4 linked regions of the Arabidopsis thaliana genome follow. The protein of the gene in region 1 interacts with the protein of each later gene in a pairwise test. Each region holds a gene or a part of one and is shown in the gene's direction. Other genes may lie near its edges.

The links.
Region 2: the proteins of AT5G09460 (region 1) and AT2G22200 interact in a two-hybrid assay, tested with the Arabidopsis thaliana proteins (one large-scale study listed by BioGRID).
Region 3: the proteins of AT5G09460 (region 1) and AT3G57800 interact in a two-hybrid assay, tested with the Arabidopsis thaliana proteins (one large-scale study listed by BioGRID).
Region 4: the proteins of AT5G09460 (region 1) and TGA9 interact in a two-hybrid assay, tested with the Arabidopsis thaliana proteins (one large-scale study listed by BioGRID).

Annotation. Positions count from the first base shown.
Region 1 is NC_003076.8:2,942,651-2,950,144, reverse strand, and holds AT5G09460 (transcription factor bHLH143), read left to right. Parts: upstream 1-3,305; 5' UTR 3,306-3,457; intron 3,458-3,795; 5' UTR 3,796-4,290; intron 4,291-4,392; 5' UTR 4,393-4,568; intron 4,569-4,684; 5' UTR 4,685-4,727; coding exon 4,728-5,708; 3' UTR 5,709-6,407; downstream 6,408-7,494. Other genes in the region: DIC3 (dicarboxylate carrier 3), read left to right, coding at 1-58, 318-904; AT5G09450 (Tetratricopeptide repeat (TPR)-like superfamily protein), read right to left, coding at 6,821-7,494.
Region 2 is NC_003071.7:9,441,185-9,447,067, reverse strand, and holds AT2G22200 (Integrase-type DNA-binding superfamily protein), read left to right. Parts: upstream 1-2,639; 5' UTR 2,640-2,860; coding exon 2,861-3,646; 3' UTR 3,647-3,995; downstream 3,996-5,883.
Region 3 is NC_003074.8:21,406,461-21,414,871, reverse strand, and holds AT3G57800 (basic helix-loop-helix (bHLH) DNA-binding superfamily protein), read left to right. Parts: upstream 1-3,259; 5' UTR 3,260-3,550; coding exon 3,551-4,096; intron 4,097-4,168; coding exon 4,169-4,282; intron 4,283-4,373; coding exon 4,374-4,439; intron 4,440-4,935; coding exon 4,936-5,031; intron 5,032-5,301; coding exon 5,302-5,346; intron 5,347-5,576; coding exon 5,577-5,645; intron 5,646-5,793; coding exon 5,794-5,865; intron 5,866-6,276; exon of another isoform or gene 6,277-6,471; intron 6,472-6,565; coding exon 6,566-6,838; 3' UTR 6,839-7,083; downstream 7,084-8,411. Other genes in the region: AT3G57790 (Pectin lyase-like superfamily protein), read left to right, coding at 7,784-8,376.
Region 4 is NC_003070.9:2,621,420-2,631,155, reverse strand, and holds TGA9 (bZIP transcription factor family protein), read left to right. Parts: upstream 1-2,561; 5' UTR 2,562-2,873; intron 2,874-3,227; exon of another isoform or gene 3,228-3,335; 5' UTR 3,336-3,425; intron 3,426-3,434; exon of another isoform or gene 3,435-3,648; 5' UTR 3,649-3,704; coding exon 3,705-3,811; intron 3,812-4,287; coding exon 4,288-4,382; intron 4,383-4,883; coding exon 4,884-4,966; exon of another isoform or gene 4,967-5,343; coding exon 5,344-5,553; intron 5,554-6,232; coding exon 6,233-6,271; intron 6,272-6,431; coding exon 6,432-6,491; intron 6,492-6,822; coding exon 6,823-6,900; intron 6,901-7,059; coding exon 7,060-7,108; intron 7,109-7,213; coding exon 7,214-7,485; intron 7,486-7,706; coding exon 7,707-7,928; intron 7,929-8,721; coding exon 8,722-8,864; intron 8,865-8,955; coding exon 8,956-9,043; 3' UTR 9,044-9,296; downstream 9,297-9,736. Other genes in the region: AT1G08315 (ARM repeat superfamily protein), read left to right, coding at 9,679-9,736. UniProt on the Arabidopsis thaliana protein: Together with TGA10, basic leucine-zipper transcription factor required for anther development, probably via the activation of SPL expression in anthers and via the regulation of genes with functions in early and middle tapetal development.

The DNA of each region.
Region 1 (7,494 bases):
GCCACCCGTATGGGTATATACGACTTTCTTAAACGAAGGTGGACTGATCAACTCACCGGTAATAATACTAAACTCGATCGGCAACAATATTACTCAAAAAATAATTTTGGTTTTTATTCGGTTTGGTTTGGTTTGATTACACTAAAAGTCGTTTACAGTTCTCGGTTATTGGTTTTAAATAAGAAAACCAATGGATTTATAAACAAATGCTGGTTCGGTTTCGATCTTAAACAGTTTCGGTTTGTTTGGTTCGAATTTTTTCCATATTATTACACAAAAGATCAAATAAATTAAACGTAAACGATAATTCCAAACAGGTAACTTCCCATTGGTAACCAAGATCACAGCTGGACTCATCGCAGGAGCCGTTGGATCAGTCGTCGGGAATCCTGCTGACGTGGCGATGGTGAGAATGCAAGCCGACGGAAGCTTGCCGTTAAACCGTCGCAGAAACTACAAGAGCGTCGTGGACGCGATCGACAGGATCGCAAGGCAAGAAGGCGTTTCAAGTTTATGGCGTGGCTCATGGCTAACCGTGAACCGTGCCATGATCGTGACAGCTTCTCAGCTCGCTACGTATGATCACGTCAAAGAAATCTTGGTAGCTGGTGGCCGTGGAACGCCGGGAGGGATAGGAACGCATGTAGCGGCGAGTTTTGCGGCGGGGATCGTCGCGGCGGTGGCGTCGAATCCCATCGACGTTGTGAAGACGAGGATGATGAATGCGGATAAGGAGATTTACGGTGGACCGTTGGATTGTGCGGTGAAGATGGTGGCAGAGGAAGGACCAATGGCTTTGTACAAAGGGCTTGTTCCGACGGCGACGAGGCAAGGACCGTTCACGATGATCTTGTTCCTTACCTTGGAACAAGTTCGTGGTCTGTTAAAAGACGTTAAATTTTGATTAATTTTTTTCAAGTAGTTAGGTTAATAAATGTTTGAGATTCCCATATTTCTTCATACATTTCATATACGTTTAAAATATTTTGAAAATAATTATATAGCGATTAAGGTAATATTTACTAGAGATTTTTGTATAAAAATAAATTATTTATTTGCACAAATATTTTTTTTAGTAAATGCGAAAACTGATAGTGATTGAAGCAAAGGGACTTTTTCGGACGGTCCAAGTCTCTTGGACTTGGGGGATATACTTTTGCTGGGGACCTTCATTTGGTATATTCCTTTTTTTCTTTGGGTACTATGTTCTATTTTCTTGGTTGACAGAAAATATGAAATATCGCTTCTAAATTACAATTTCTTTTGTTTGTTTGTAAAAATCTAAATTAGAAATTATGCAAAAAATTATAAGAAAATAAGATTAACAATAATGTTTTTCTTTTATTGACTTTGATCATATTATCTCTATAAAAGAGAAATAAAATCTTTCTAAAGTTTTTTTACTTGAGTTTGAAGCTGGTGGCAATTTGGTGTTTGTTTTATGAGATTGTATAAGAGTTATCCAAAGCTGAGACATGGCCCAAAATAAGTCCAAGGCCATGTTTAGGCTCCATTTTGCATGGCCACTCCACTCATCTAACCAAAGCCCAGTCTCAATTATGTGAACTGAAATTTCTATGTTTTGTTTTTTCACACTGAAATTTCTATCTAACTGTCTTTCTTTTAACATGTTTCAATGATTTGCTTCCGAATAGAACACATAATAATTGTTTCCTAAAATTTTAAGAATTTTGAAGTACATAGTAGGCATTTGGGTCCACTGATCTCACACGGCAACGACTATTCTCAAATCTCATATCACATCAAAATAAAGAAAAAAGATTCAACGAGAAATTAAAATCTTTAGAAAAAATGTTCCAAAAAGAAAAAGAAGTCATCAAGGCAATTAAGCACTTAATTCCCTGTGCATTTTTTTAATCATTCACTTGCGTCTCTTTCTCTTTTTCTTTTTTTTTCTTCTTTCACCAAACTTGCTTACCTCTTTATTCGTTTTCTTTTCTTTCTCCTATGATCATGGAATTTGGTGGATGCTCCAACGTTTTTCACCTCAATCACTTATTAAAATATCATGTACAATAGTTCGTAATTATATATGAAAAAACGAGTGGGCTAAATTGGTGTTTTATAAGCCACGTCAAAAATATTGTATTATTTAGCTAGCTACTAAACTAGTCAAATATGTTACAATGTATATAGTTCAATTTGTATCGCGTCATCGTAAAGACATAAATGTTCCAAATCATCCCACCCACACACCTAAAAAGAAAGGTTAATACTTTAAAAATAATGATTATAGAAACCACCAAAATGGTTAAAAACTCACTTCCACTATTTGGCTCATAATTATAAAGAAAAAACGTTGCCCCCCCCCCCAAAAAAAAAAAAAAAGTTAAAAAGAAGACGAACATATAATGGCTTTACTTTAACGAACTACTAAGAAATTCTCACGTTTATGATATTACATAATTATTAATTTATGGCTTGAAATTATGGATCGCGAGGGTTTGCCATTATACATCATAATTACATATATTCTACGTTCCACCTCCTCTACTCCTCGTCCCATTGCAACCATCCAAACTAATAAAAATATTTAGATTATTTCTACCATTCAATTCAAAATTATATGCATTTTAAATTATACTATATGTATTTTCTAAAATAAATTTAAATTGAACTGAATTAAATAAATTTAATTTTTCTTTATAAAAAATATGTGTTAGAAATATGAATTGAAACTCATACTAAAGTGTATTTTAGTTTTAATTTCTACTAAAAAGAATAGTAAAAAATCAAAATAATAAGACTATATCCAATGTTCAATTCTATTTTTTCTTCTATTTTAAAATTGACTCTATTTTAAAGGTATTTTATTTCATTGTATGACTCTAAAATAAAGTTTTCTCTAAAATAGAAAACAAATATAGAGTAAGTTGTCTTTTGTTCTATTTATAGAGTAATCTCTACATTTTTCTTCTATTTTAGTAGTAACTCTATTCTAAAATATATAATAGAGTAAAATTAATTATATTTCTTCTTAAATTGAGTTAATATTAAAATAGAAGAAAATAAAGTTGGGCAATGGAGATGGTGTTATGTTTTGCTCAAATGAGTTTTTAGAGTTGATGTTCCAGCTTGGTTATCTAAATTTTGGAAGAGAAAGAAAAATGAAAAAAAAAAAAAAAAAATCTGAAATAAACTTGGTTGATGTGAACTGTTTTTTTCTTTTTCTTTTTCTTTTCCTGGTCTCCATTATTGACGGTAAATAAAGTGGTGGAAAAGGGTAAAATCGTCACAAGAAATAAGAAGATGTATAAAGCAATGTCACACACTTCAGTCTTCACGCCCACTTTTAGTGAATTTGCTAAAAATATATTTTCGAAATAATATTCCGCTTTCTCGTTTCTTATCCGTTCAAGCTTTCGTGAATTCGTCTCATAAACCTCTCCACTCTCTCTGGATCTCCACGCATAGATCTTCCTCTGTTTTCCTCCATGTACGCTTCTTGGATTCACTTAACCATTGTTTGTCGCTGTGCTCTCTCTGTTTTTTTATTCCTCGAAAAAGTTGAATTATCAGCGAATTTGATGCAAATGTGTTTAAATCGTTACCAAAACGGATAAATTCTTCTATTTTCGTAGCTTGGCTTGCAAAATCCAAGCTTTTAGTTCTTGATTTTGCTAAAATAAATTATACTTGTTCAATGCTGCAGAACATGTACTTATCTTCTTCTGCTGTTTATGGTTTCTCTATCCTTTCAATTGTTGTGAATGTTTGGTTTCTTTGGTTTGTTATTACTGGAATTTGATGAGATGATTCTCTGTTTTGTAACAGAATTCTTCTCTCTTTCTCTGGATCACAACAAAGCAGTGAATGAGAAAAACAGCATGAGTTGGTTCACAAGGTCTGTTGATGTGTACCGTAAAGTTGTGAGCTTGAATCTGTATTGCCGAGTTATTCTGTAAACTTTTTCTCTGCCTTGAAAAACCCCATCTTCAATCTTCTTCTAAATCCTCAGCCTTTTCTAAACTCTTTAATAATGGGATCCCAACGTTTCTACGTTTTCCACTGTGACCAGTATAGGATCATCTAAACCCTTAAAGCTTCTCTTTTTCTTCTTCAAGTCATCTGTCTTTTGGTGACTTACTCTGTTCTGTGGAGAAACACTAGTTTTACATTCGAGAGTTTGGAAAAGTTATTATTATGGTAAGTCAATCAGCTGGTCAAACAAGATTTCGAACATTCAAGTACGAGAACAACGGAGACTCTAGCAGACCAACAATTGTAGTGAGAGTTATTGCTTGCTTCCAACCGATGGATAATTGTCAGGTTTGTTGCAGCAAAAATGATATTATACTCTTTTTTTTGTCACATTTCATCTCATAGTCCTGTGTTTCTTATCTAACACTTTTGTCTCTGTTCCACTTGCAGGCTGAATACTTTAGACATATACTCAAACCAGTGACGTAGTTGGTTTGTGAGCTTGTGTTTGTATTTTTGGAGCTGGCACCTTTTTTCTTTTTGTCTCTACTTTCTTATACGATTGTTTCAAGAAAGAATCAACAAGTGTTGCGTTCCACACATTTGAGCAACAGCTTCCACAATCGGTATGCTAACTGAATCTTTGACTCTTTATGGATTATTGCTTTCTTGAGTTGGGCTACTAGTAGTTGTCTCATTCATAGCCATGTCCAATGATTAGTCCCTTTCCTTTTTCGTGCAGTATTGTATTCCTGTAAAGTTCCCTTGGCTTAAACTGCAAGAGCATGCCTCTTGATACCAAACAGCAGAAATGGTTGCCATTAGGCTTAAATCCTCAAGCTTGTGTCCAGGACAAGGCGACTGAGTATTTCCGTCCTGGAATTCCTTTTCCGGAACTCGGTAAAGTTTATGCAGCTGAGCATCAGTTTCGCTATTTGCAGCCACCGTTCCAAGCCTTATTGTCTAGATATGATCAGCAGTCTTGTGGAAAACAAGTTTCATGTTTGAATGGGCGATCTAGCAACGGTGCTGCTCCAGAGGGGGCACTCAAGTCTTCTCGGAAAAGATTTATAGTATTCGATCAGTCGGGAGAGCAGACTCGTTTGTTACAATGTGGATTTCCTCTGCGGTTTCCTTCTTCTATGGATGCAGAGCGAGGGAACATTCTCGGTGCCCTACACCCAGAGAAAGGGTTTAGTAAAGATCATGCCATTCAAGAAAAGATATTGCAACATGAAGATCATGAAAATGGCGAAGAAGACTCGGAAATGCACGAAGACACTGAGGAAATCAACGCGTTACTGTATTCTGATGATGACGATAATGATGATTGGGAAAGTGATGATGAAGTAATGAGCACTGGTCACTCTCCATTCACAGTTGAACAACAAGCGTGCAACATAACAACAGAAGAGCTGGATGAAACTGAAAGCACTGTTGATGGTCCACTTCTTAAAAGACAGAAACTACTGGACCATTCGTACAGAGACTCATCACCATCCCTTGTGGGCACCACTAAAGTCAAAGGCTTATCAGATGAAAACCTTCCTGAATCAAACATTTCAAGCAAACAAGAAACGGGTTCTGGTTTGAGCGACGAGCAGTCAAGAAAAGACAAGATTCACACCGCTCTGAGAATCCTGGAGAGTGTAGTTCCAGGGGCAAAGGGAAAAGAAGCTCTTTTACTACTAGACGAAGCCATTGATTACCTCAAGTTGCTGAAGCAAAGCTTAAACTCATCAAAGGGTTTGAATAACCATTGGTGAAAAACCTACAACCCCTTTTGTCCTATTGATAAGGCATGTTTGGTTGGTTAAAGAGAAGACATGGGACAAAAGATAATCAATGAGGTAAAGGACTGATGAAGAAGATTCTCTCAAATTCATTAACGTGGGTTTGAAACAATTAGAACACGCCTGGTGACCCTAGTGGGACCGTATCCACTGTTCATCTAGCTGGATCAATAGTGGTTTACTTTTGGATTTGGCATGCTCTCTCAAAAAAGAACCAAAAAAAAGTCACTTTCTTCTGTGCTTGGAGTGGAAGAAAAGTGAAAGAAGGGAAAAAAGCAAAGTCTTGGTGCTCATTGATCGTTAATAATTATCTTTACTCGTGAGTAATAATAATATCTCTGTGAAGGTCTGGTGGTGGTGGGTGTGGATGAAGAAAAATCAAAAAGGCAAATATTGAAATTTTTGGAGTGGTTGTGACTTGTGGAAATTGAAATCTTCCCACTTTCATTAGGTGAAAATCTATGTCCCCACTCTCTCTTGTCTCATTATTACTCTTCTGTTGCTATCAATCCCATAACTTGTCATCTTTTTTGTTTTTTCTAATCTCTCTGGCTCTTAAGCTCTTCAAAGGCCTTGTAGTTTTGTACTATTGTAATGTTATTTGCTTCTGTTGTTTCTCTCATGGGTCTAAACATGTTTGTGTATCATGTTCATGTAATAAACTCGAGTGTTAATAATGGAACCTTCTTTGGCTTCTTACATGCTAGGATTTTGCTCTAACCTTTCAAACTATCATTTTTTCTATACCAAAAACAAATTTTGTAGACTTATTATTAAACAACAACCATACAAGAAAAACCTCCACAATCTATTTTTTGTTGTAAAATTTGGACTTTTTGAAATTTGACGTTACATATGAAATGTTATGGACCTTGCCTAAGGAAACACATCTTCCGACTATGCAGCAAAATCTTCTGGTGAGGAAATCTATGTGTCTCATGACCTCCCACGTAAAGAACAAAAAGATATTTAAGAATCACAGTGAAGAGAAGAAACCTCTATTTTATTCATCCACCATGATTAATGAGCTTGATCTGATTCTTCTTGCTAAGAGCATAAAATTTTCACCAACTTATTTCTCCATCTTAAGATGATCCTTCATTCTCCAAGCTGCATTTGTTATGCACCAAGATCAAGTGAAAGCCGCTGGCTATTCCCTCTAAACCAACATCTCGAAAAGCATTCAAGATCCTCAAGCAAGCAGAAGCATCAAACTCTGTCGTTTTAGACTCTTTCCACTGATGGATAATCTCCTCGGCTTCTCTCAAATGACCAAGCATTAGATAAGATGAAAGAACACAAATGTAGCTTCTACTACTCAATATCTGGTTGGTGTTTCTCAAAGACTTCCAAATCTGATCTATCATAACCTTGTTCCCTAGACCAGTGTGCAGAATCATAAGGAAGTCATATGTGATCCATTCTCTTTGCGAAATAGATTTCTCAGCTTCGACAGGCAAAGTAGACTCTGCATTAGTTACTCTACTACTGTTTATGTAGATGCTAGTAAGATCGATATACCGAACCCAACCCTCATTGGAACTAGCATCATGCCTCATCTCTTCAAGAATCTTTCTAAGCTCATCTATATTAAAGGTTGCAGCACATGAACTTAGCCACAAATTATAAGTAAAAATATCCGGAGAAACCTTTTTCTGCTTTAACACTTCAATAACCTCAGGTACTTTCTCAACTTGCCCAACTGACATGTATAAAGTCATCATCTCGTTGTATGTGATGGCACCAAAAGTGAGACTAT
Region 2 (5,883 bases), on another chromosome or scaffold:
TTTTGACACCACTTTATAGCTTACATTACATTAACTAATAGGACGGAAACCAGACATTTCCCTAGGCCTATCCCCTTTTGGGATAAGGCAAATGTTGGTCTCATTTAGCTTTCCATCAAAGATACCAGATCTAAAGAAATTCTTCACCAAATTGGTGAGATCACCTTTTATAATGTCCCAAAAACGTTGGTAAAAAAGTGCCATCATCCCGTCTGATCCTGGTGCTTTTCCCGGGTTTAATGAGAATAAAGCTCTTTTCACCTCCTCTTCTGTAACCTCCTTGGTTAGAGCCTCGTTCATCCTTGGAGTAACCGCAACATGGACATCTTTAAGGACATTAGTGGGATCTCTCGAAACCGAGGAAGAAAAGAAGTTATCAAAGTAGCTCACGGCGACTTTCTCGATACCTTCTTCATTATCAACCCACACTCTATTTTGATCGAGGATACCAATTATTCTGTTCCTAGCCCGCCTTTGTTTAGTTGAAGCGTGAAAATATTTGGTATTTGTATCTCCTAATACCATCCAAACTTGTCTACTCTTTTGGTACCAAAAGATTTCTTATAAGTACCATAATTTGATTTGAGGAAAGTTGACTGAACAACCGCAAGAAGCGTAAATGGACTAAACCCATAGTAATTGATTCATGATGAATCAATATGTAACGTGAAACTTTACAAAGGAGAAATCTAGTGGAGTTTAGCAAACGAATCGATTTTATGACTGGACCACATATTAAATTACATAATAAATCACATAATCTGTAAATATTTTAATAACATATTTATTTGTCACACCAACATTCGCATGGATCATTTTCATTCCAAAAAAAAAAGAAAGAAGAAGAAAAAAATACTCACATGGATGATGTTATTAGTATTATAATTGTTATTCTATTATGCGGAAGCATTAAACCAGAACACATATCTTAGCCAATTTAGTAACAAATTTGTCACGGAATTGACTGGTAATCAATGTAGAGATTGGAAATCAACCACAAATCAACGTTCAATTGCTTTTCCTTTTGTTCTTTCAAAGCTTTCTCTCTATAAAACGTTCTTTTTATCCATCTAAAGTTCTCTTTGTGTCAATGGGCACAAAGCTCATCAAAGCTCTTTTTTTGTCTCTCTACAATCATCTTTTCATCTTAGTATAATCGTATTCTTTGGGAATTAACTTTCCAATTACCGGTTCGATATACTGTCATATCATGGGCGTAATACGATTATAAAGTATAAACCAACAATAACCTATTCCTATTTTTTTCTATCTACCTCGTACTTTTAATCTATGTTGCATAGCAACAGAAACGGAAACACGGAAACGAAACGTTTCGAAAACCGAAAACAATTTTTTTTTAAAATTAAGGAACGCAAACGTTTTGGAAACTTAGACATATATATATATATATATATATATATTTTAAACAACAAAAATCTAAAACATAAATATCAAATAGATAAAGTAAAATTCTTAAAAATAAAGATTAAAAAGCGTAATATCAAATATTTAGACCATCATTTTCATTAGTTCCATTAAAAATCATATGAAGCACATGAGATTTGATTCGTCGAGAGAAAGATCTTAAAACTTGAGTCTCCCAAAATTAGTTAAATCTTTATCTTTCCAAACTTTTATTATTATTAAGTTTCCAAAGTAAAAAAATAAGATTTTTTGCGTTTCTAAAATATAAAAAATTTCATCGTGTTTCCAAATATAAAATTTTAGGAAACGCGTTTTTGTGAATTTCCATCGAATTTCCAAGAGTTTCCGTTTTCTGAAATGTTTCGGAAACGGAAAACGCACTGCGGAGAGAATTTCCATGCAATTAGCTTTTAATATATTTGTCCAAATGAAAGTAAAATGTTCATAATATAAAAGGTGCCATATTCCAAGAGTTATTGGTCCTTTCACTTGATCGTTAAATGGTTGGAAAGCAAATTGGCCTTTCAACGAATCCTAGAATCAACAATTCATTTGTTTTTATTTTCTAGCTCCTACAAAATTCTATATCTAAATAATAATATTGTTAATCAATTAATTAGTTTTTTTCAGGGTATATATTCTGTATATATTATTAAATAAAAGTTCGAAAAAAGAAATTAAATGTGGAAAGCATGTAGCTACAATAACTCCCCAACCAACCATGTGTGTTAAACTTTCACCACTTTATCTTCAACCTTATCATCATATATATATTTTTTGAAAATTTCTAACAACATATAATCTTACAAATAGACTTGAGTATTCATCTAAAAGTATAGTTACATGATTAGGTCACTAAACAAATTTTTAAATTTTCAACTTGTGGAAGTTGTGATTAATTTGATTTTTAAGCTCCATTTCCATCATACAGAATATTGGTACAACAAATTATCCTCCAACATTGAGTCATATATTACGTGTTCAACTTCAAAGTAAAACATGTCTAAATTCACAACCGAAAACCCACATATTATAGAGAACTTGCCCCATATAGCCCCTATATTATATTCCCCGGAAACGGCTAGATCCAAAGCACATGTAGACATGGCAATTTCCTATTGGTTTACTCCGGCCATGGATTGATTAAAACGATTATTGCCTTAAATATTCAGACGAATTCAATGGCCTTTAAAAGGCGGAGAGCTTCAGAACAAGCAACATAACGAGAGATTTTTTATATATAAAAAATAAAGGAAGCACGAGTTCACCTTAAAAATTTGAGTTTCTCTTTTCTTGACCCTGAAGTTTCGTTTTGATCAATTTCACCCATTTCTTTGTTCGTCGTCTTTTCTTTCAAAAGGGTTTCATCTTTGTATTATAAAAATCCAAACTTTATATCTTCACAAGCAGCAAAGATCTCTATTTCAATCCTCTCATGGAAACTGCTTCTCTTTCTTTCCCTGTCCCAAACACGAGCTTCGGTGTAAACAAATCTATGCCTCTCGGTCTAAACCAGCTCACACCATACCAAATTCATCAGATTCAGAACCAGCTTAACCATAGACGTAGCACAATCTCAAACCTCTCTCCAAACCGTATCAGAATGAAGAACTTAACACCTTCTACCTCCAAAACCAAGAATCTCTACAGAGGCGTAAGGCAAAGGCACTGGGGGAAATGGGTCGCTGAGATCCGTTTGCCCAAGAACCGGACCCGTCTCTGGCTCGGGACATTCGAAACCGCCGAAAAAGCCGCCTTAGCTTACGACCAAGCTGCTTTTCAGCTCCGTGGAGATATCGCGAAGCTTAACTTCCCAAACCTCATACACGAAGACATGAATCCTCTCCCTTCCTCTGTTGATACCAAGCTTCAAGCTATCTGCAAAAGTTTGAGAAAAACAGAGGAAATTTGCTCTGTTTCTGATCAAACAAAGGAGTACTCTGTTTACTCTGTTTCAGATAAAACAGAGCTTTTCCTGCCAAAAGCAGAGCTTTTCTTGCCTAAAAGAGAGCATTTGGAGACAAATGAGCTCTCTAATGAGTCACCGAGAAGCGATGAGACCTCGTTGTTGGATGAGTCGCAGGCGGAATATTCATCGTCGGATAAAACATTCCTGGATTTCTCGGATACTGAGTTTGAAGAGATTGGAAGTTTCGGGCTTCGGAAGTTTCCTTCGGTGGAGATTGATTGGGATGCAATTAGTAAACTGGCCAATTCTTAAAGTCTTCTATTTTATATTAATCTTCTGTGCAACTGAAATTTTCAACAAGTTGCAGATGAGTTTATTAGGTTTGAATCTGTCCTAGTTTTCTTTGTTGGTCGTATAGAGTTTTACTATGTAGCTAATCTCCATGTTTGGTTTGGCTTGGTAAGTTTTTAAGGTCCTCGTCATCAACAAACCGGAGAAAGTTTATGTATTCAAAAGCTATGTATTATATCCTCACATCTACTTATGAGAGTGAGATCAAAGTTTGTAAAATGAAGTCTTGATTTCTTCTTTTAGTTCTCTCTTTTTTAAAACCAAATGTATTTCTTTTTTTTGTGTTTCTTATTATGCATGCTAATTCCTGATTTCAGTTTACGAATGTATTTTATTTCATTTTTCAATCCTCTGTTTCAACTTGAAGCTACTCTTGACAACCCAATCGGAGCCAAAATACCTTTGGGCCTTCTCGGCCTTGTTTTAGTGCCCAACATCAAGATTGGATAAGATATATAAATACGAAGCCCAAAAGATATGGAATTGTAAGGACTAAAGACGATTAAGTATATTTTTTCCAATATGGTGGTATATTTGTGAGGAGTATTGATTTTTTTTAATCACAAAATGATGGTTAATTATATATTAGTAGTTAGTATGGAGTACCTTTCAATTCTATATAACGTTACTGTCAAATTTTTAGATATTGAGTTAAGTAATTAAAAAATCGCGTCAAGTTATTGATAAAAAATAGGTTTATGGTTAATGCAAGACACGTAGAAAAAGCATAATTCCAACACTAATATCTCCATCACCAACTGTTTCCGTTGATACCGTTGAGTGCCTTTGATTCTACAAAAAAAAGCCATGATTACTTATTTTATGGGGTTGGTGACTCTTCTTTTACATCCTGCATTGTGTTTTTTAATTATAGAAATGAACACACTTCGTTCTCTTATGCATAAGCTTGAATGTTATTTAGCAAATTAACCATATAATCTATCGTTTATTGTTGCATTTGTTCTTGATTTATGATGCTAAAGACGTTTATTTGGCAAATTAACACTATCGTCTATCGTTTGTTGTGTGTTTTGTTTGATAGATCGTGTAGAATATAGTGATTATATCGACTGAAAATCGAGGAAAACATAAGTGATTCATTTTAAGGATTAGCGACTTTTGGAGAAAGTGAAGAGTTATCTAAGACACTCTCCTTTTAAGCCATTCATAGATAATATTGTATGCAGACACTAGTTGATTTTGTTATTCAATAGGAATTTATATATTTATCTTGGCAAATTTGCCCAATTCTCTACTACCTTCCTCTCTTTTTTTTATGAACAGTGGGTGGGGTTTACTACATTTAAAAATAAATTTTACAATTATGAATTGCTTTTCATGTGAATTCATTCAAAGAATTAAAGAAAACTCGAAAGTGAAACTGTTGTTCCAGCAACAAACTTTTTCAAAATCACTCTTTTAATATGATTCAGAATCAATCATTTTAAATAGTGATTTTACTAGTCTTGTACCAGATCACATAATAATTTATTTTTAGCTAAAAGCATGAAAGTATATCTAGACTTCGTGCTTTATTGATATGCGATGAACAATTTTTTTTATATATACTAAATTACGATGATCATGTTAAAAAACCGAAATCGATAATAATCTGCATAATAATTTTTGCATATATTTAATCCCGCTTTAGAGAAACATTTCCCAATGATTGCCCATGTTATCCATTAGACCATTACTGATTACACTCAAAATAAAAAACAAATGGCAACTTGTACATACTATCGATATTTTAAAAATATGATCCGATATATAAGAAAAGTAAAAGCTATGTTGCAAATTGACATTATTAAAATTTTCACAAGCATTATTGGTTATTACTTACTTACTTATAATATTTGAGGGTGGGAATTGATGTATAATGTATACCTTAATATTAAAAGCCCGATCGACTAGTTACGGTTGTAGTTGGATTGTATTTAAAACTATAGATTAATTGTTGTAGAAATTAGTATGTGGGGATTCAAATGTGTTTCATACTTCGAGTGTAAAACATAATTGTTGCTTTTAGAAAAAACTAATAATTAATTCTATAATATATATTTTTATAACAAATTTGTTAGAATGATTTGAAATGGAGCAAATAAAACTTGTACAAATGTCGTATTTTGGTTGAAACCAATTATGGATTTGCCATTTTTTTGAATGGCATTTGTGGTTTTTGTCATTTTTTAAAATAA
Region 3 (8,411 bases), on another chromosome or scaffold:
CACTCATTTCTGACATCAATTCGTTTTTTTTTTAATCAGACACATATAACAAAGTATCTTTGCAAATGAGCAAATTAATGCTATCTTACAATTAATGCATTTGAAAGTAGAATTTCATTCTTTAAGTTGAATGTATATATAATGAATTATAAGAAAATCGGTTGAATCCAACGAAACTAACATGTGAACAATGATCGATAGAAGTGTTTCGACTTGCATCACTCATTACCTATAACGTATTTACTATTTACTATTACACAACACTGTATCAGTATCGATCATTGTGCCAAATATGTATATACATGTACGTGTATTTAAATGTACGACGAATTCTATACGTGTAAACGTATAACGTAGAAAATTTAGAGACGTCTCCTTCGTAATCATTTAAGTATATATATATATATACACTTGGACAGTTCAATGTTATTGACGATTTATAATCATTACGACGCTAACCAAATTTAGCACTGGACTTAGACTTCTTATTTTGGGAGGTGAAGTGCATTCATGATGTTTGATATGTTTCAAAATATTATACGACTAAATAATCCAAACAATCTTTTGATGAAAATAAAAATGTTATAGTTGACGATAGAAACGAGCAATGCTTCATATAACGTGGAACAATTGCATTACATAGACAATTGCTTGTGGACATTCGTACTCTACATAAAATTAGTCGAAGTTAGCAAAATTCACCTAAGATATTGAATCGTTTGTGATACATTGCTTCTTCCTTTTGGGGGTTTGATATTAAATGCTTTTACAACTATATTTCCATTGACAATCTACCTTTATAATGATTATTAGCTAAACCAACTTACAAACAACGTTTTGACAACCATAATTGTTATGCACTTTTCAATAGTCTTAACTCTGCTTACGGATGTCGTTTGCTCAGCAATTTGGGAAATGGGAATAACTCATATAAAGAGATATGTGTGTTGTTGTGTGGATCCCATGCATGTCAGGTTTGTAACAGCTGTCGAATAATGCAAGCTACATAGAAAAATAAAACATTTTCATTAAAACACAAAAAGAAGAAGGTTAGAGAGAGCTATTCATTTATTCATCGAAACATTTTAATATGGGAAGAAGGGAATTCCCACACCACTCCACTACGAAGAGAGGCTTCTTGGGCCAGTGTCACGTGATTAACACGCGGATCCAGACCCACTCATATATAAACGAATTATCTATAATATTTTCTAAACATATTTCTTTATTCATCGCACATTTTTTTTTTTCATGCTTCACGTATACATCCGAAAAATCTTTGTGGTCTCGCCCATATCTATCCTTTTAAATCCATCATGATCCCAATGTGATACGTTAATAAGACCATCTGCAATGGTTGTCTCTATTTTTTTTTTGTAAATATAGAAGAGAAAATAGAGATTTCTATTTTTACTCCAATAATTCTTCAAAAATAGAAATCTCTATTTGTTAGAAAGAAAAATAGGGGAAAAAAATAGAGATCCATATTTTTGTTTCTATATATAGAGAAAAAAATAGAGATCTCTATAATGGAAGTGAGAATAGAGATGAGTTGGAGTGTAATAAAAGCAAAAATAGAGTGTAGAGACAAAAATAGAGATGTGTTGGAGATGCCGTAAGTATTGTGAAGATAATCCTCACAGCTTTCTCAGCAATAAAAGAAAATATATCTCTTTAATTTTTTATAAAGGTTTTATGTGTGAATATTAAAAACTTTAGTCTCATATGAGTTCGAGACTGTGCTCGGGAACAAATTTTATAAAGATAAATCATCTAAAATTGAACTGCGTTTATAATGGCAAAGACTTTGCATAATTAGAATGTTTCTTATTGATAAAGACTTTGCATGTTTCATACTCATTTTGACATCTAATTGAATAAAAACAGAAAAGAGCCGTATAGCTTCAAAATCTTTATATTTAGAATAAAGTGTATATATGTGAAAGAGTAACACATATGTACGTAGGAATTAGGTTGGTTAAAGAATTGGCCACATCAATATCTGAGACACCAAAGAAGTAATGGACGTTGGGAGAGTAAGTAACGTTGCCAAATTGGAAATGCCAAAAAAAGATTGTACCTTTCCTCTCTTTGATTGAGACTTTACTACTACACCAAACCTTACATCACCAATCGCTGAAAGTGAAACCGATATTTTAGCACATTTATATTCCACTTCTACACCTTTTTACTAAATTTCAGTTTTGAGATTTACTTACATGAAGAAGAAATTGGCTAATCAAAATAATCAAGCAACGATGATTTGTTGCAATGAAATGGAAATTGGGATTTGGGCTCAGATTATTAGAGCATAAGTGGATTTCCTGTTCGGCCCATTGTGTGAAACAGGTTATTCCACTGGACCCATCTGTTCATCTTTGTCCTCAAATTTTCCTCTCTATCCCCAAAACACCCTTTTAAAGAAGTAACATTAATTGTTTTTTTTTTTCCTTTTAATAAATTTATAAGATATTTTGAATTAATATTATTAGTACGTCTCAATTTTTATTTTATTTTTGCCTTTTATACTCTAAAGTTTTTAATACTTGATGAATTTTGAATATTTTTAAAAAATAAAAAAAATAAAATATTTTTAAAAAATTAATATTACGCTTGGTAGATTTCATCCAACGGCTGAGATAATTACTAAAATGGTGTTTTGAGCTCAATTATTTTTCCATATTAAAAAGTGTTTTTGGTTCTTGGTTATTTACAGGTCAACAAAATAATTTGACACCGGAATCGGAGTCCGTGGAAAGTCAGAAAACCTGATGTAACACCATTTATGGCATTAACTACTGATAATAATACTATACGAAAATCCAATTATTATACCGAGAAAAAAAGAAAAGTGGTCAGAGACAGCAGGCTGGTCCTGCTGAAGAATAAATCTAATCTACCGATTCGATTAAATAAATATGTGCCGTTTTCTGGTACGCCCTATTCAAATCATTTTTATATTATAGTATCAAAATACTTCAAAAATTTACTAATTACAAAATTAAGGAGTGATAAAAAAAGTTTATAATCAGAGATAAAAAGTCACCGGTTAAAGCCCAAAAGGCCCAAGTAATATCCATTGGGATCCAGCAAAATATATAACAAAAGAACCGTACCGTACCTACAATAACCAAAATTGGTTTTCTCTTTCTTTTGTCTAACAGTGGCCTTTATTTAACAGACGCACTCCACTGCTAACGTTGCTTTCGTCCTACTCTTCTTCTGGTGTAAAAGCTTTTCTTCCACACACATTTGAGAAAGAAGACGAAGAAGAAGAGAGAATAACTATTCCTTCTTCGCCAAGTTCTCTGAGCTATAGAAGAAGGAGGGATTTCTTCAGACCGCCATTGTTGCCCACCTTCTCTCCTTTCTATTTTTCGCCGCATTTTACTCGCTTACTGACAAAAGTCTTCTACTCAAGTCTCTCTCTCGCTCTCTTTGGAGGCTCAATTAGGGTTTTGTTGTCGTGAGATTTGATTACACAAATTGCTGAATTTGGTTTCGATTATTGGTGTTATTGTTTTCGAAGATTTCCAGTGAGTTTCCGTTTATGGATCTGACTGGAGGATTTGGAGCTAGATCCGGCGGTGTTGGACCGTGCCGGGAACCAATAGGCCTTGAATCGCTACATCTCGGTGACGAATTTCGGCAACTAGTGACGACTTTACCTCCCGAGAACCCCGGCGGTTCGTTCACGGCTTTGCTTGAGCTTCCACCTACACAAGCAGTGGAGCTTCTCCATTTCACTGATTCTTCGTCTTCTCAACAAGCGGCAGTGACAGGGATCGGTGGAGAGATTCCTCCGCCGCTTCACTCTTTCGGTGGGACATTGGCTTTTCCTTCTAACTCAGTTCTCATGGAGCGAGCAGCTCGTTTCTCGGTGATTGCCACTGAGCAACAAAACGGAAATATCTCCGGGGAGACTCCGACGAGCTCTGTACCTTCCAATTCAAGTGCTAATCTCGACAGAGTCAAGACGGAGCCTGCTGAGACCGATTCATCTCAGCGGTTGATTTCTGATTCAGCGATTGAGAATCAAATCCCTTGCCCTAACCAGAACAATCGAAATGGGAAGAGGAAAGATTTCGAAAAGAAGGTTAGAGTGAGAGACAAATGTTTTTACTTTTTTACATTTGATCCTTCGTTTCATCAGATTGATTTTTTATAGGGTAAAAGCTCGACGAAGAAGAACAAAAGCTCTGAAGAGAACGAGAAGCTGCCATATGTTCACGTTAGAGCTCGTCGTGGTCAAGCAACCGATAGCCATAGCTTAGCAGAACGAGTAACTTGCATCTGCCTTCACTAATTTTTCTTTTTTTTGGTATTAATCAGTTGATTAATTCGCTAATTGATCACTAATTTTTGGATTATAGGCAAGAAGAGAGAAGATAAATGCACGAATGAAGCTGTTACAGGAACTGGTCCCAGGCTGTGATAAGGTTTGTCTCTTAGATATAGACGTGTAATCAATTTGTTAATCAATCATTAGGTCTTCATTTGTGATTAACGACATTATATTTCTCTAATTGATTCACTCCAAAAGTAAGAATTTATTATTAGATGATCTAGTCTTTTTGTTAAGGGTCTTAATCCTTCACACCTACTTTTTTTTTTCTTCCTAAAAAGTGGATTGCTTAATTGCTTTTTTATTAAGAAAAGTGGTTCCTGGTGTGCCAAAGTAGCCAGTTGGGTAATTGTGTAGTAATGCCTTTAGAGATCTCAACTTTATTTTTTTATTTCGTGTGGGGAGAAATATCTCACGGGTACACACTTAGCTTTAAGGTTAACTCAGTCACACGGAAGTGATAGGACCTTGCTTTATCGAATTCTTTTTCCATAAGTGTGTTCGTTGAGCTTGAAGATTAGTCTATAAATGACGAGAATGACCTTAGGAAGTGTGCTAGCTGTAATATGCCATTAAGGTTTTGGGTTTAGGGGACAGATTTTGGTGGAAAGATCAAGATCAAAGTGTGTTTTGGGGTCCATCTTTTGATGATAAGTGGGAAAAAAGTTGCAATCTTTCTATGGAAGGTGAGGAAGGGGTAGTATCGTCTCTAACAAGTTCGGTATCTATCAAGGAAAAATAGAAAATGACTCTTAGAAGGACGATTAAAGCAAATGATCCTTTACAAAAATTGATATGCTTTGAGTCCCACATACCTAATTAGTTGGAAACATGATGTGACACTCCCCCAGACAGCTAATTAATCATCCCTGATGTTAGAAGTTAGCAGCAATTATTGGTGTGATAGAGATGATGATATGGAACATCAGTGTTTGTTTAAAATTTGGATTCTATAGGTGAGCTGTGAGGACTTGATTGATTGTTCCTTTAGCCCCCCTAGGGTATACTGATTACTTGTGATTGTAGTAGATACCATTTATTATAATAGCTTTAGATTAGCACGTCATTCTCTTGCTGCTTTTTTCACTGTGTATTTTGGAATCTTGGTATTTTCTCGTTGAAATATTGGATCATCTTAACAATAGTTAGCTGTCTAGAAAGAATTTTTGGTATGTGAAAGCAGATCTACCTAATATGAATCCGAGCTTATCAGAAAGTCTTTGACCTGCAGATTCAAGGTACCGCGCTGGTGCTGGATGAAATCATTAACCATGTCCAGTCATTACAACGTCAAGTGGAGGTGAGACTTTCCGTGGTCCAATTTTTGTTCTTTATACCTATATTTTACAATAGCCCTGGGCACAATAAAAGGGTCAACTCAAAACAATTTGAAAATGAATAGAATTATGTGCCGCAATCTCATGAAACTGTGACTTGTGTTTCCACAGATGCTATCAATGAGACTTGCTGCGGTAAACCCCAGAATCGACTTCAATCTCGACACCATATTGGCTTCAGAAGTAAGTATCAAAATCTCAAACAATAATTTGGTCATTCTGATTAGTCTTCTCTAGGAAAAATTTAACCATTTCATGTGTTTCTCATTTAAGTTAACCATACCTCTTTGAGTAGCTTCTAGTTTCTATCACAAAAGGAGAAACTTTTGGGGTATTTATTGATACAAACATTAATTTAGACCATTTTAGTGTAAGGCATAGGAAGATCACAACGTCTACTCTCATGAAGGAAACTCAGGGAAAAATAAATACACAACACACACACACACCCAATGCAAATAACAGTAGTGGGTCAAAACTCGGACCACCTTTGTTCTGTAAAACCTTTCTGTGTCTTCTGTGACTTATGTCGGATGTGTTACTTGATGAACCTTTTAAAAAAAAAGTTAATTCATCCCTCAATAATTTCTGTGGGTCTCTTCCAAAATCTTGTTATTTCAAAGTGACCTATCTAATTTCATGATCACCTGTGGATTCTCATCAAAAGTTTTGGACCAAACTAAATAAATGCTCCCTCTCTCTTTCTTCTTACAGCTTGTACCACCATTAAATAGCCAGGGACCCTCTCATCAAACCTTGTTCTTTTAGGATAATAATAACACAGCAACAACAGTTGACTTCTTTGACTAGATCAAGATCTCTATGAATGATCCCTTTGCTGATATCTTTTCCGGTTTTGGCTCTGTGTTTTTTTCTTTGACAGAACGGTTCTTTAATGGATGGGAGCTTCAATGCCGCACCAATGCAGCTTGCTTGGCCTCAGCAAGCCATTGAGACCGAACAGTCCTTTCATCACCGGCAACTGCAACAACCACCAACACAACAATGGCCTTTTGACGGCTTGAACCAGCCGGTATGGGGAAGAGAAGAGGATCAAGCTCATGGCAATGATAACAGCAATTTGATGGCAGTTTCTGAAAATGTAATGGTGGCTTCTGCTAATTTGCACCCAAATCAGGTCAAAATGGAGCTGTAAGTTGGGAAAACGGTAGAGATCATGAATGTGTATATACATCGTATAAGCTCGTTTCTCTCTATATAAATATAATCATAAATATAGATATCTGTTAAGAAGGTATCAGTCATTTGATTCAGAGAGACAACACTGGTATGATTGTTTCTTATTCTTGTACCAGATTTCGACAATGTAGAATTTAGTAGGATATGATCATTTTGATCTCGTTATATATATCTTACTAATAATAAATAGAGATAAAAAAATTCTATTTAGGGAAATAAATCAGTATCGATAAACAAAAACAGAAAGAAGAAGCAGGGGCATCCTTTGGATATTGGAGTTGCACGAAAAAGAAGAAGCAAAAACAAAATGCAACTATATGTTTAGATTGTTTGAGCTGGACCAAGTGAAAATGCACCTCTTGAATTATGGTTTAGGTTAGGTAACAAAAAACCCTAAATTGACTCATTCGATAAGAACAGAGATGCAATCATAAATATGAGTGCAAAGCACGTTACCGGAAGCTGTGATGGCCTTGTTTGCGTCTACCGTATAGAAAGATTGATGTGTATCATCAATCCCGCCACTAGATGGTATCGATCTCTTCCTCAGCCTAAGATTCAACAAATTAACCGCCTTAGACGAAATCTACACGAGAGAAAGTTTCACTTTTTAATTCTTTTGCTTAATCAATTTGCTTAATCAATTTGCTCATATATGTTTACTTAAATTTTTGATGTTTTTGTAGTATTATTTCACTATTATTGTGCCTAATTAATTGTTTTTGTTTTTACAAACTCTCTCATAGCTTATTATTCTGCATCAAACTATCCAGGATTCGGTAAAGACACTACGATCCTCATAGAAGAGATCTGGAATTCTAGTTTCAGTTGTTTATCAATTCCAATAAAGTCTACACACATAGACATAGGATAAGATTATTATTAAGACCTTTAAAAAAAAATGATGGGAAGCATATTATTGTTACTATTATTCTTTTCTCTGGTCCAATCACGTTCAGACACGTCATATTCAAAAATTCAACTTCCCGGCGATTCTCTGACCCTCTCCGTTACCGATTTCGGTGCTACCGGCGATGGTATCAACTACGATACTTCTGCGATTCAGTCAACCATTGACGCCTGCAATCGTCACTACACATCTTTTTCTTCCATCTGCCGCGTCGTTTTCCCTTCCGGCAACTATTTGACCGCTAAGCTCCATCTCCGATCTGGCGTCATTCTCGATGTGACGGAGAACGCCGTGCTTCTCGGTGGACCGAGAATCGAGGATTATTATCCGGCGGAGACTTCGTCGGATTGGTACGTGGTGGTGGCGAATAACGCTACGGATGTTGGAATCACTGGCGGAGGAGCGATTGATGGCCAAGGATCGAAGTTCGTGGTCAGATTCGACGAGAAGAAGAACGTGATGGTGAGCTGGAACCAAACCGGAGCTTGCTTGGGTGATGAGTGTAGACCCAGGCTTGTTGGATTCGTTGATTCTATAAACGTTGAGATCTGGAACATCACACTACGAGAGCCTGCGTATTGGTGGTTAGTTTTGAAACTTCTGCTTTTCACAAAGAACT
Region 4 (9,736 bases), on another chromosome or scaffold:
CTGAGTCTTCTTCTCGCTCTGTGTTGAGACTTTTTGGGGAATGTGATGGAAGAAGGAAGCAGAGAAGAGATTATGGGATAAAGGAATTGGTAATGGCCGGCAACGAACTTGGGTTAATAAAAAAGAAAAGGTTGGCAAGTTACACGTTACAAGAGAGGATGTTGCAGAGAGAAAGATTGAGTGGCGATGAAGAAAAGGGTTAGGAGGAAGGTGCGACGTGGGAATCACTCACTTCCTTATTTGATTTCCAAGTCTTTTATTCATTTTTATATTTAAGCATAACAAGTAGTATTAGAGTGGGTTTTACTCCCCCCTATTTGATAACATCTGTCTCTCTTACTTTTTCTGTATATATGACGTATCTACTGTATTTCTTTTTAACAAGTTTATATTACCCTTTTATGAATTCTAACAAAACAAAAAAAAGTGTGAAAAAAAAAAAACAGAAAAAAACTCTTATCCTTTGAGGCTTTCAGTTTGACCCCAACAAAATAAAATAAAATTACACCATTAACCAAGGTTAAATTACATCAATTGCAGATCTTTGTACCATTGCTACAATCTAACAGCCCAAACGAATATGGGCCTGAAGCAAACCAAATAAGGATGTGGCCCATTTTTACATCATATGACTGTTACCGAATCAGAAAGTCAATGACAATAATGGAAAATATGCAAATTTGACAATTTTCACCCAAGATAATGGTTGTTGAAGAAAATTACACAGGATGAAACATTTAGGCCACGAAGTTTTGAATATTAGGGTTTTGGGCCTCTCGGCTTGTTGGACTTTTTAGATCATGCTAGACCAAAACCGACTACACTATTTTGAGTAAGTAATTCAAAAATCCCAATTCGTTAGAAAACGAGCTTGAGTAGTTGTCCCAAAGTGATTGATCATTGATGTCTACATAATAATATGCATCCTCCATATAAGATTATGGCCGGTATTGGGCTGAGATGGTAATCTAAACATTATTTTGATGCCTTGATGGACAAATTAATATTGAGATTCTATAAAAGCTTAACCGTGAGTTATATACTTCTACCGAACCCAAAAAAAGCATCTAAAGAGCCGTGAAAAATAAATTCTCAATTCGGAGGGGGTCATTATGACACAAACTAAAGGAATAAAGCCATGACAAATGTGGATTTGCAAGAGAGCTGCATTGACTAAAACAGCTATACGAATCAAAGGAGGCATATAACAATTTCTAATAAAGGAAAGGAATCTGAAATGTGGCATTAGGATTTAGGTGATGACAGGGAGTGGATGTTGACCGATCAACAAAATTATAGGATAATACCAAACTAATCAATTTAAATAACACTCGATTGAGATGTTTACAATAATTATTGATAATTTTAATGCTATTTTCTATATTTATTTACGATTAATGCAAGAAGGCCGTTTAATTTTATCTTATTGGTCTACATAATTGTCATTATTCTAAGGCTTTTTTGGTTGAACTGGTAGAGGCAAAATAGTTAATTATTCAATACTTAAGTATGTTAGGTTAACCGACTAGAGAAAGTTGCTCTAGTTCTATTATATCCAAATTTGAAACTTAAAGCCTAAAAGCTGTTAATTTTTGAGAAGAAGAAAAAACTTTCAGAAACTGTTTCACATATTATCACTCTCGGCTTTCAAAAGGTTATAGACTGAAGATGAAACTAAAAAAAAATCTGTAATTATGTATAGTGTGTTACATATAAGTAGACGTATTATATTCATACTATTCTTATCCCTCTCTCTGTCTCAAAGGTCATTTAACAAAAAGAGTTGTAGTTTAGAAATAGAAACTCACTCGATTCTGCTATTTTAATATACATACACAAATCAACAAACATTCCTTATCCCACATTAATGCATTGTCTTTGATTATGAATTTATGATTATGTGTATTAACATTATTTCATCACTATCTCTAGTACTATTCCAATAACAAACTCATTAGATCATCCAAATAATATATATAATTTAGCTTAAACTATAGCTGGGGAGTTGTATTCGATCATTTAGTTATAGTATATATTTGTTTACTAGACTAAAGATATATATATCATTTTTTTTTTGGCAAAAATATAAAGTATATGCTGTATATATCATGCCCATTCAAAGATTCTTGATATAATTCTAGAATTTTCCTGTTAGTTTTCTTTTGGTTTTAGATTAACACACAGACTACTTAGAAAAAATAACTTCATGCATGATCCATGCTGCTAAGATGATAGAGTGAAACCCAATTCTTTTATGCAAATTTCACCACTTTACTTTCACATATACAGATACGTATTTTGATATAGGCATGTACGTGAATACGATGAATAATACTACAGAAAAGATGATAGATTATTGAAAAAATGTGTACGTGAATAAGCCCAAAAAGAGATTTGATGAAAAAGAGCCAATAAGCACAAACAGGCGGTTACAAAGAGAGAGAGAGAGATTGTGGAGTAGGAGTCAGTGATTCTAGTGGGTTCCTCCTCTTTTTCTGCTCTCTTTCTTCTATTTTTATTTTATGGACTAAATTACAAACTCTCATTTAATTTTCTTCTCGCTCAATTTTTTTCTACCTAGAGAAGTCGATAGTTTTCTTAATAATCTACCTCCATTTTCTTGTGATCGGTCCAATTAATCTTATATCCAATCATCTTATTTATCTTCTACATATTGGATAAGGCTCTTTTATTCTTTACCAAAGATAAAGCTCCATTCTTTTTCTTAACAAGGATAAAGCTCTTTTAATTAAGCACTCTTAGACTTTTGATTTTCTGTTTAACTTCTACATTTCAGGTTTGTGTATGAATAGAGATCGTCCACTCCATCTGATCAATTGCCAAGTACTAGCTTCACCCTTGACAGCTATAAAGTTAGTCAACTAAATTTTCAATTTTCTGTACAACTTTTTTGAACCCAATATTATTATTTGGAAAACAAAAAAAAATGCAACACATAAATATAGCCTGGAGACAAAGTCTAGGAAGGACAAGATCTTCGTCTGATTTACCATGAAAAATTATCAATATTTCTTTATTGTTTTCTTCAATAAAATTTTGAAATTTAGCAAGTGGAATTTGTGTTTACTATGGAAATAGATAGAGAAAGGTGGTGAAAAGGAGAGAGTGATGATGAATCACAAAGGTTTCTTCACATACAAGTATAGAGAGAATAGTAATAAAGAGAGAAAGAGTAATGATACTATACATTAGTCAATTACTAATACTTTATTATCATTTCTCTATCCAACTACAAATATATACACGCCCACATAATTTTGTATATGTATCTCGGAAAGAGAAAAGATTGGACCCTCTTTTGTTTTTCTGTTCAGCCATAAAAAAGCCTTTGACGAGAAAGCTTCCATTCTACTTTCTCTCTCTCCTCTTTGTTCTCAAACACCAAAAGCAAAACATCACAAAAGGTAAACACATAGATATCTTACTTTCATGTTCATATCATCAACTAGCTTTTTCTTTTCAAATTCCAATCATTTGATCAACTAATCAAGAATTAATTATAAGACTTTGCAATCTCTCTCCCTCTCCCTCTCCCTAGCTAGTTCTCTCTTGTGTTTCTTAACTCGAGCTTCTCTCAATAGTGATTATCATCTTTTTCATCATTTCAAGATTTAATGTGTTTTGCAGAAAAGAGACTAATCAAGAAGAGATATCATCAATTGAAGCTGTTTTCTTGAGTAGAGATGGCGAACCATAGAATGAGCGAAGCTACAAACCATAACCACAATCATCATCTTCCTTATTCACTTATTCATGGTCTCAACAACAATCATCCATCTTCTGGTTTCATGTAATTAACAAATCTTCCTTCGTCTTTTCTTCTTTACATATACATAAAGCTCAACTTTATTCATATTACATATCTTAATATTGAGCTCTAATTGAATTTTATATGGGTTTTCTTTGTTTATTCTCAATTTGTCATTTTCTTAGTAGTATTATGATATGTTATACGGTTTCATTTATGAGATATGAAATGGTCAACGGAAATCTATAGGTAAAACAGAAACTAAAAAATGTGTTATGGATCATCCGAAATAGGTTTTATATGTGCTTTAGCTTTTGTGTAAACTTTCATTATATGCGACCGTCTTTATTAATCTTCTAACTCAAAATGCGACCCTCTAATCAAGTATTTATATTTTAATTTAATTGTTGTTCCTTTTGGTCTCCAATTTTTCTTGGTTTCTGATTGTATAGTTGTAGTAACACATGATGAATATTCTCTTTGTACTAATTAAACAATACTATTAATAAATGAAACAGTAACCAAGATGGATCGTCCAGTTTCGATTTTGGAGAGCTAGAAGAAGCAATTGTTCTGCAAGGTGTCAAGTATAGGAACGAGGAAGCCAAGCCACGTAAGCCCCCCTCTCTCTCTCAAATCTTCATGACGTGAGCTTTCCTTAACAAACTCCAATAAAGTTTTTAAAATTCTGAGCAAAAAACTGAAACTGGAAAAAACAAAATAAAAAGCTGAGAGTAGTCTGAACAAGTCTTTAGATAGGTTTAGGTGATGATACGGAGGCAAAAGAGAGCCTTGGATGGCGTGACTTGTTTTTCTATTTCTCTTCTCTTTATTTAGAAAATAAGAAAAGAAGAAAATATCTTTTACCAACTCCCTAACTTCCTCTATATCAAAATATTCATAATTATACTATTAGTAAAATGTGTCATGTTATATATAGATTCCACGTGATAAATGATGTAGTTAGTTCTAAGTAGAATATATTGTAGTACTACTTAAATTACATCAAAAACACATATACATGCATGCACACATTTAATAAGTAGCTAGCATACTACATGATTACATATGAACATTACATATCTGATAAATGTAATGATGGGTAAAATTGCAGCTTTATTAGGAGGAGGAGGAGGAGCTACGACTCTGGAGATGTTCCCTTCGTGGCCAATCAGAACTCACCAAACTCTTCCTACTGTACCCTTTCTTCTTCTTTGACCCTTTCCTCTTGTTTTTTTCTCCTTTTTCGGCATTCCTATTTAAACTTAAAACTTATATTTTCATTTTACCCTCACTTTTATATACATGTTTCAGCTTTCTTGTTCCTCTTACTATCTCTTATTTTTGCTTCTTTCAACTCAAAAGCTGATAGCGATTTTAGAGTAGTTAATTACTCCATTCCTTTCTCTTGACTTTATTTTATATTACATAAACTTATAGTACCCCGTTTGTCAAATTATATACGCTAAGGTCAATTCCTCCTTAGTTACATTGATTATCCCTTTTCTGACTTTTTATTAATTATCTTATACGTTAATGATGATGAGTATGATTATGTTGAATATGTATTGCAGGAGAGTTCCAAGTCAGGAGGAGAGAGCAGCGATTCAGGATCGGCTAATTTCTCCGGCAAAGCTGAAAGTCAACAACCGGAGTCTCCTATGAGTAGCAAACATCATCTCATGCTTCAACCTCATCATAATAACATGGCAAACTCAAGTTCAACATCTGGACTTCCTTCCACTTCTCGAACTTTAGCTCCTCCTAAACCTTCGGAAGATAAGGTACTCATCATCATCATCATCATCATCATCATCATCATCACTTTTTAAAATTTAATTTTAGAAAGAGATATATGCATGGTACGTACTTGGAGTCATCATGAAACATGCATGCTTAATTTGGTGCATGTACATGGTATGTATATCATTAGCCTATCTCTCTCTCTCCTTGTCATTTGATAGATATGCATGCACATGCTTTTTCATATATGTCTATGTCCTAACAAATCTTTCCAATAAAACAAAAACATACACAGATCCCAAAAAGGAAACGGATCAGAGAAAATTCAGAATTTTGACCTCTCGAATCGTTGATAAAATAATGAAAACAGACAAATTTAAAATACAAATTATTAAATGAAATCCCCAAAAAGCGGAATAAAGCAGAAGAATCTTCCTAGGTGTTATTATTGTTTTTATAATTTACTTTTTACTACATGATTACATATCCTCATTTCTATGTTTACTTTAACAACACATATATTCCCTAAATGAGTTCATATTGCTTAGATTTAATATTACATTAAAAAAAAGTATTTAATAATGCTGTTTTTTTAATTGTGTGTAAATGGTATTTAAATATTTATCACATGAGTCGACTTCACTCACACAATTTAATTTATGTTTACTTTCTTTCCACTGAATGAATTTCTATTTTCATCTCTGTTCTCTGACATTGCAGAGGAAGGCTACAACTTCAGGCAAACAGCTTGATGCTAAGGTACTTTAACTTTCATCATCATCATTTCCTATACATTTTATTTGACTCCCCCGAGGAGACATATCCATTCCTATATATGTACTTACTTTTTAGTAACCTTTTTTACCTGAATTAATTCGTTAACTTCTTGTTTAAATGTTCTTAAATCTGGATTATGCAGACGTTGAGACGTTTGGCCCAAAATAGAGAAGCTGCTCGCAAAAGCCGTCTTAGGAAAAAGGTATGACCATATAATTGCCTGACTTTTCACCTCAAATTATTATCATTTGTTTTTGTTTTTTTGACCTATTTATATATTCTTTGCTACTTTTTCCAAATGATAATTTGTTGCATAGAATTACAATAATGCTATTGCTACTAGTAAAACATACGCAGTGGTGTCTTTTATTCTTCTTGGAAACCGCTGTTACATGAGCATTTATTTCTTTATCTACCATTTACCAGTCTTCTATAATTCATTTATGAACGTATAAGTTCCGCATTTCTTGTTATTCTATATGTAATGATACTAGTATGAAAATAACAAATGCATATACATATGGTTTGAGCAGGCGTATGTGCAACAGCTAGAATCAAGTAGGATAAAGCTTTCCCAATTGGAGCAAGAACTTCAGCGAGCTCGTTCTCAGGTTGAAATTGAATCATTTATATTCCTATAATCCTATATATTCTGCTAAATCTTTTTTTAAATTTGTCAAAACCTGTCATTTGCTAAGTTTCTCAATTGTTCATTGGTTATTAATAATGTCTGTTTGTTGAAATTAATATATTGTTTATGTCGATGGTAGGGGCTGTTCATGGGTGGTTGTGGACCACCAGGACCTAACATCACTTCCGGTACTTGAAACCTAAAACACCAATTGCAATGTATTATTGTATTAAAATAAGTACAATAATGGTTAAACTATTATTAACAAAATGTTGAAAATCGAATGTACGTAGGAGCTGCAATATTTGACATGGAATATGGGAGATGGCTAGAGGATGATAACCGGCATATGTCGGAGATTCGAACCGGTCTTCAGGCTCATTTATCTGACAATGATTTAAGGTTGATCGTTGACGGTTACATTGCTCATTTTGATGAGATATTCCGATTAAAAGCCGTGGCAGCGAAAGCCGATGTTTTTCACCTCATCATTGGGACATGGATGTCCCCAGCCGAACGTTGTTTTATTTGGATGGCTGGTTTCCGTCCATCCGACCTAATCAAGGTTCGACTTGTTCTTCCTTACTTTACCCCATGATTACAAACGTAAGTTTTAGGTTTTGCGTTTGAAAAACAAAATGATATTCACGTTAGTAAATTACATCAACAAATCTGAAACATTGCTGCAAAATGTAAACAGAAATGAGTATTCTTCGGTTTAATTATTTGCGTGTGATAAAAAAGTTGTGGAATCATGATTAACTAAAGAAAGGGATGTGATCTTAGATATTGGTGTCGCAAATGGATCTATTGACGGAGCAACAACTGATGGGAATATATAGCCTACAACACTCGTCGCAACAAGCAGAGGAGGCTCTCTCGCAAGGCCTCGAACAACTTCAGCAATCTCTCATCGATACTCTCGCCGCATCTCCAGTCATTGACGGAATGCAACAAATGGCTGTCGCTCTCGGAAAGATCTCTAATCTCGAAGGCTTTATCCGCCAGGTTCCATTTTCTCACCTATCTTTTTTTTTTTTTTACTTCATTTGCTCGAACAATAATTACAAACGAATGCAAACGAGAGAAAAAAACACCGTGTGAAATATACACAAAATTTGACCTACTATATAACTGTAGATAGTTTTTGACTAAACAAAATTTGCAACGTATTTTGGTTTATAGTTAGAGAGGAATTCGAATATATTTTTTAGAAATATATTGGGTAAATTTTAACGTTTTATATATATACTAGATGTACAAATGTTTAAAAATGCGGAAATACGTGCATATATTTTGCGTACATATATGAACAAACGTATGTGCTGGCTAAATTATCTAATTGAAAAAAAAACAAATAATCCAGAAACAGACAATACGTGAAAGCAACATTTGATGTTCTATAATAATTATATGTTGTTTTGGTCTTTGATTTAATTATTCCAAGAGCCAAATTTCTTTCACCAACTTGTTTTTACCTTTTATATATAATATAGCTGAAAAAAAGACAAAGAGAATATGTTAAAAGTATTCTCCATCTCTTTCAATGTTTTGTTTTGAACTCAACAAAAATATTTTAAAAAAATTTCTTGTTTTCAAACATTATGATCAAATTGATTGTTATTGATATGTATTGACTTTTGTAATACCCATTAGCCCACCAAGGTAGTAAGTAGGTATGCAATTATAATTATTAGTTTTTAATAATATTACCAAAAGAAATATTGAAATAATCTTAAAATGTCAAAAGATGTGATTACTAACTGTAATCTTTTTCTTTCTATTATTAATCTAAATGAAGGCTGATAACTTGAGGCAGCAGACCGTTCACCAGCTGAGGCGGATCTTGACCGTCCGACAAGCTGCACGGTGTTTCCTAGTCATCGGAGAGTACTATGGACGGCTCAGAGCTCTTAGCTCCCTTTGGTTGTCACGCCCACGAGAGTAAGACACATTTTTATGCATATATACATTTCATAGACGTATAATAATGCTAAAATATGAATTTGATATCGGGAATTATCAATGTGAATAGGACACTGATGAGTGATGAAACCTCTTGTCAAACGACGACGGATTTGCAGATTGTTCAGTCATCTCGGAACCACTTCTCCAATTTCTGAATGGAATGAAACTTTGTATAACTAAAAGGCCAAGTTTCATTGTCTGTCGTAATTTCACCTATTTCCTTTAAAGTTGTACTAGAGAAAAGATAGGATCTTCCTTCGACATTCTTCTTTTAATTATAGTTTTATGCTACTATGAAATTAACGTACCACGAAAAAAATGAATGTTGAATCTCTTCGACAGTACAAGAGGATGACTGAAATTTAATTTCACGAATGCTTTGGAGAGGATGACTGAAATTTAATTTCAATTATTTTCAATTTTAAACAGAAACGTAAATATCTCTACAAGTACAAGAACAAGAGCATGAATTTTTTTCGTACGATCAAGTTTTTCTTATGGAATAAAGATCTGACACATGTTCCTGAATCCTGGATAAAGAAGTACAATTCTGGTATAAAAAGACAAAGTTGTACCTTTTTGTTGACGAAAGAAAAAAGTTAAGACCTTTAATTCCCACTTAGATGAATTATCAATGACTCTTTCATTCTTGTTTACTCTTTAATACAATTAATACAAGTGGCTTGTTCAACAAAAAGTCGTAACTCCATCATCCAATAAACGATAATTAGGGTTTGAAGATAAAGATAAAAAACAGAGAATTGTTCTCTATTTCATCAAAATCTTCTCAATGGAAACAGCAAAGCGTAGAACCATGTCAACAATCGTCTCCAGGCTTAGCTCTGTCT